Linked DNA regions of Ovis aries. The protein of the gene in region 2 purifies or fractionates together with the protein of the main gene of each other region. This does not show direct contact. Links are inferred from orthologs where the notes say so. Each region holds a gene or a part of one and is shown on either strand. Other genes may lie near its edges.

Region 1 (2,422 bases), on a different chromosome or scaffold from region 2:
AGCTTGCAACCGCTTGCTCGCTCAGCACCCCTCCGTCTCCCTGGTCCTGGTTGGAGGTGTGGCTTCCCACATGCATATTCATGAGCATGTTTGCAGGGGTGGGGCTGAGTCCCCAGAAGGACCACCTCCTCCCCATCTGGCCGTGGGGCCTCTGGGGCCCTCAGGTGGTGCGGTGCCCGGGTGAGCCCCTCCCTGATACTGCGGATACACCCAGGGGCTGTGGGCAGTGCTCGGAGGGGACAGGGACCTACGGGGCAGGCGGGTGCTGGGGAGGCCTGGCGTGGGGGTGCCCCTGAGCTGGCTCCTCACCTCAGGAGCTGGAGTTTCTGCGCGTGGCCAAGAAGGAGAAGCTGCGGGAGGCCACGGAGGCCAAGCGCAGCCTGCGGAAGGAGATCGAGCGGCTCCGTGCGGAGAACGAGAAGAAGATGAAGGAGGCCAACGAGGCGCGGCTGCGCCTGAAGCGGGAGCTGGAGCAGGCGCGGCAAGCCCGCGTGTGTGACAAGGGCTGCGAGGCTGGCCGCCTGCGGGCCAAGTACTCTGCCCAGGTGCGCAGGGAGCCACGGGAGGCAGAGGTGGCGGGTGCGCCCTTGGCATCTCAGGGTCCCTCCCCTCCTTGCCAGGCCGTCTGTATGTGGGGAGCTGCTCGGCTTCGGGCCCATCCTCCGTGGGGTGATGTGGCCCTAGGCTCTCCTCTCTTGTCCTGGAAGAGGGCTGAGCTCACCCTCACATGCCCATGAATGTCTCAGCTGGTCCCCATGGCCATGCTGAGCAGCAGGCTCCCAGGGATGGGGGTTGGGTGTCGTCCCCTGTCTTAGGGTCTTTGGAGACGGTGCTGGTCCTCCTACTGAGCTCACCAGCAGGTCCAGTGGGTGGCGTGGGAGGCGAGTATGTGATGGCCGGAGGGTCAGCCCGGCGCCAGGCAGCGACAGGGTGGGTGGGGAGCAGCTGGCTAATGCAGGCGTCCCTTTCAGATCGAGGACCTGCAGGTGAAGCTGCAGCACGCAGAGGCCGATCGTGAGCAGCTGCGGGCCGACCTGCTGCGAGAGCGGGAGGCCCGGGAGCACCTGGAGAAGGTGGTGAAGGGGCTGCAGGAGCAGCTGTGGCCGCGGCCCCACTCCGAGGCTGCAGGTGGCGAGAGTACGGCCGAGCTGGAGCCCTAGCCGAACCCACTGTCTGCTGCGCAGGGCGGATGCCACAAGGCGGGCGGGCGGCAGGGTTGGGGCTCCGTGCCAGCAGGACGCCCCCCTCCAGTCCTTATAGCACAACGTCTTACTGTGCCTAGAACCAAGCAAGTGTTTGGAACCACATACTTTTGGAATCCACTGCAAAATTTTCTACTGGCCAAGTTCAAGCGTGCAAGCCGGTTCCCAACTGCCCCAGAGACGAGGCCAGCTCGGTGGTTGTGGCTGGCCCTCTGCTTGCCGGAACGTTCTAACATTTACACTTTTGTTATAAGCTATTTAAAACCAATAAGGAGACTTGATATTCAGAAAAATCAACACGTTTTTTAATGACTAACTTTTAAAAGCCCCACCCACACGTGATGCCCCCCGAGGACCCACATGGGAGCCAGGGTGGCCCCCGTCCTGCCCCTCGAAGCCATCGCAGCTTGTCTGCACCTGCGGCCGCGTGACCACACGAAGGGTTTTTCTCCAGAGTCTATTTTTTCAGCGACAAGGACCTGTCTCCCGCACTGTCGGGGGAGGACCCGGGGAGTGCCGCGTGCACGCGAGCTGGAACACTGCCGCCTTACCCACCTACCGGCCCCCGCCACCCACAGGGTCGTCTGCAGGGGCGTCCGCAGGGGTGCTCAGGCGGGCGGCGGGGGTGGGTCCGCGCTGGCCGGGCATGTGCCCTTCTCCACGCGCCCCTCCGTCCAGCTGGTGCCCCACAGAGGCGTCTGCAGGGGTGCTTGGCGGGGTGGCGGAGGTGGGTCCGCGCTGGCCGGGCACGCGCCCTCCTCCTCACGCCCCTCCATCTGGCCGGCGGCACGCCTTCTGTTTGGGCCGAGGCTGCAGCATTGCAACAAACACAGCATTATTTCAGTTTTTCTTTTTTCCTTTTGTTTGTTCGTTCATTTAAACGTATACTTAGAACTGCACTTTGTCAAAAACCTTCCCCTTCTCTTTTTATTCCCCAGTTAACTGAGGTTTTTACTTTCAGATACTGCAAACCGATTTCTAGAGCATCCACATCCTAAGTGCTCGAGTGTCTAGAAACCCCTCTGGTGCTTGGTTGAACAAGGGAATCACACGAAACGAAAACGCAAAAACTGAACTTCGGGGGGTGGTTCTGTGCCTTCCAGCGTCTTGTACAGCAAACCCTGACTCGTCTTCTTCCCCCAGAATACGTCTCCAGTAGCTGTTGGATCTGCCATGATCACAATGAGTTACCTGCATTTATTCCAAATAATCGCGTTTAC
Region 2 (3,655 bases):
TGGAAGTCATACCTTTTTAAGGTGTAAATATTTCTTATATCTTTTTTATTGGCTATGTGTTTTATGTTTTTACTGCCTCTGGATTTTGATAATCTGTGAAGCATCCTCTCAAACATATAATTATGAGCTGACAAAGATTCTGGTTGGAGAAAATAACTCCTGTCTCACACACCTTTGGAACGTGTATTTGGGGAACAGAAGAGAACAGGCACAGCCTGAAACGGTTACGAGCATGTGGACTTGCGGCCATGGTTGTTAAACCCAGAGTGTCTGATTTCAGAAAACAGACTTTTAATTGGCTTTCAGATCTTTCCTTTAAATGGCTAGAAATTGCTTCCCCATTAGAAAGTAAGTTTACAGTTAATGTTTTTCTAAGGACTGTCGGCTTTGTTGAACCTTGGTGGTTTTCCTGGAGCAAGGGGTCAGCACACTGCAGCCCACAGGCCACGTCAGCCTGCTGCCTATTTTTATAAATAAAGCTTTATTGGGACGTGTCCATGTTTATTCATTACATATTATCTGTGGATGTTTTTGCACAGCTAGGGCACAGTTGAATAGTGGCCATAGAGACTGTGTGGCCTCTAAGACCTTACTGGCCTTTTACAGAAAAAACTTGTCAGTCTCCAAGCTAGATGAATAGTACTTTGAATGATCCTGGTAGCTGATTAAAGCCTTCTCTTAATGATGTTGCAGCCTTCTTTAAGATTTGGTACCTATAAATCTGAAAGAACCTTGCTGATTGACATGGGATGACACTTAGCAATCATGGAAGATGGTGTTTGTTTTCAACTCACCTGCTTAAATGTATAAAGCAGCTAATGTATGGATGGATTTTTTTTAATGATTGTTTTTCTTAATTTCTTTACCGTATTCTAAAGTAAGGGGCATTTTAATATTCATGGAGGTTGATGTTCAGAACACAGAGGTCATTCTCCTTTAACAGAGTTCATGCTTCCAACATGGATTTTCTTTTTTTTTTTTAACGATTGTATACTCCAGGCTTCATAAAACCTCAGATCATTACATATTGGCACAGTGGAAATATATGGTTTATATTCCTGGAATCTATAAGAGGTTTTACTGCAGAAGGAACTTATCTTTAGAACCTTTTAGTTGCAAATGTTTAGAAGCATGTTCTGTTTGGAGATTTGTTAGTCTTAAGAGATTTGACTTAACAAGCTGCATCCTGTCAGTAAAGTTGGGTAATTTCCATTGTTGGCCCATTCTGGGAATGGAGAGACAAAACACACCTGCTCTGCATGACTTAAAGCAAATATAAGGAAGTTAGCATGAAATCTGGGTGAGAGAGATATGATTCATCCAGGAAGAATGGCCAGCTGGCAGGATTTCTTCCTGAGTTTGAGGACTGGAGCAAGGCTGTAACTGTGAGAGTTACTGGCAACATGAAGTCAAGTAACTTCTTATCAATAATTAGAAACTGATTTTTCATTGCTTTGGAAAAGCATCGGTGTACTGAGACATTGTCCAGAGTCATTCCTTTTTTGTGCCAGCACCTTTGGCATATTTCCTGTCCTCTATTGTTCTCTCCCCACTTGTTTTTTTCACTTGCCACTTGTTGCCTTTCTTTAGATGGTGAGCCAGGGTCAGTGGTGGGGTCATTTCCATTTTGGCAAATTATAGAGCCAGCAGTGTCCTGGGAGTGTCCAGCACATACTGCTGGCGTGCTTAGCAGTTGTCTTGTTGATCCGATAGCCATCAGAGAAAACTGTCTTCCAACGCAAGGTGAATGCCCCGCTTAGCAAGGAGCCGCTGCTTCCAAGATCAGAGGTAAACTCTGTACCTGATAATAGTGGTGGCATGTCACATCTTCATTCCACGACCCTGAGCCAACTTTACGCCACAGTTTCAGTTTTCGAACGCCCGGGGCACTCCCCGTGGTTGACTCTAAGCTTTCCTTTCTTGCAGATGTTCAGGCGGTTGCTTATGAGGAGCCGAAACACTGGTGCTCTATTGTCTACTATGAGCTCAACAATCGCGTGGGCGAAGCGTTCCATGCCTCCTCCACGAGCGTGTTGGTGGATGGTTTCACCGATCCTTCCAACAACAAGAACCGCTTCTGCCTCGGGCTGCTCTCCAACGTTAACCGGAATTCCACCATCGAAAACACGAGGCGGCATATCGGAAAAGGTGAGCCTTCGCTGGAGCTTCTCTTGAACGTCTGTCTGTTGTGTTCTCCTTCCCCCAGAACTGACCGGCAGTCTTTCCTGGAGCCAACGCCAGATAATAAACACCTGTTGCAGAATGCCAGGGACAGAGGAGCCTGTTGGGCTGCCGTCTGTGAGGTCGCACAGAGTCGGACACGACTGACGAGACTAAGCAGCAGCAGCAGCTCCAGTTTGTAAATACTGTTTCAATTTATGTCGTCAGGAAGTTCTTCATTTCCCAGTCAGTGATTTTTGTGGTCTACTGACTCATAATTGTTATTTAATTAGTTGAAATTGTGATGTGCTATTTGGGGATACTAATCTATCATACGTTTTGCTGCAGAACGAAATAGCTGTTAAAAATTCTTTACAACCTAAAACTAAAAGCAAACGCAAACAGGTAAACGCTAATGTATTTTAAGTGGAATGCATTAACTTACTGGGGAAAAAAAACTTCAAAATAACTTATGAATATAGTAGTAATGCAAGAGACCTGGGTTCAATCTCAGGGTTGGGAAGATCCCCTGGAGTAGGAAATGACAACCCTCTCCAGTATTCTTGCCTGGGAAATCCCATGGACAAAAGAGACTGGTGAGTTGCAGTCCATGGGGTCGCAGAGAGTCGGACACAACTGAGCAACTAACATAGTATTTGCATATCCTTGGCCTGGACCAGGTAAGGTAGAGTGCCAACAAACATATCCTGAACTCTTTAGAGTAGTCTTGATTATTTAGTGGCAGAATGAAGGAAACAGTTACGAAACTTTAAGATGTATTCATATTATAAAATTAAGCAAATGACTGAATGTGTGGATGCTGTGGGGAACCTGGGTTTTCACTGTGGTATAAGAAGCATACAGGTGTGGAGGAGGGTAAAAAATAAACCCTGTGAAAGTTTTAGTGTGAAGTTATGATTTTAGTAGTGTGTATATGTGTGTGTGCATAACATGTTTGGTCTCCTGTATATGTGTGTGAATGAAGGCTTATGTATTGGGTTGGCCAAAAAGTTTGGATTTTTTTCCATGTTACAGAAAAAGCCGAACAAACTTTTGGACCAATCCAATAGATGTGTTTCTGCATGCATATAGTTTCTGATTCATCTATTGGGTTTGATCTGTATGCATATAGTTTTTGATTCATATGCTAAAAGGGTCAAGAGGCAACGATACCCAGCAGCGCTAAGCACATACAGTGATCAGATCATCATTTCTTGACACCATGTTGCTAGAGAGGAACCCAGACTTTGGAGAAAGGGCTGACTTCAAGGCTGGAATAGGTGGGCACAAAATGAGCGTAGAATGTTTTGTTATGGCTGAAAGTAAAGAAATATGTACGCACGATGGAGGCATGTCACAGGAGCCAACTTGGAGTGATTTCCACTGCCAGCTTGGATAATTGAAACGCTGAAATAATAAAATACAGCGATGAGTTTTAAACCACTGGAGAACAATAGTAATTCGTAAGTCCATACCAATAATAGATAAGTAAATG

What was found.
Region 1: the proteins of SMAD1 (region 2) and SKI purify together in Homo sapiens (affinity purification with western blotting, with the first as the bait; 3 studies listed by BioGRID). This does not show direct contact. The link is inferred for Ovis aries from reciprocal best matches to the Homo sapiens genes SMAD1 and SKI.

The regions. Positions count from the first base shown.
Region 1 is NC_056065.1:49,826,726-49,829,147, reverse strand, and holds part of SKI (ski oncogene), read left to right. Parts: intron 1-314; coding exon 315-545; intron 546-971; coding exon 972-1,160; 3' UTR 1,161-2,422. UniProt on the Homo sapiens protein: May play a role in terminal differentiation of skeletal muscle cells but not in the determination of cells to the myogenic lineage. Functions as a repressor of TGF-beta signaling.
Region 2 is NC_056070.1:12,812,414-12,816,068, reverse strand, and holds part of SMAD1 (mothers against decapentaplegic homolog 1), read left to right. Parts: intron 1-1,926; coding exon 1,927-2,148; intron 2,149-3,655. UniProt on the Homo sapiens protein: Transcriptional modulator that plays a role in various cellular processes, including embryonic development, cell differentiation, and tissue homeostasis.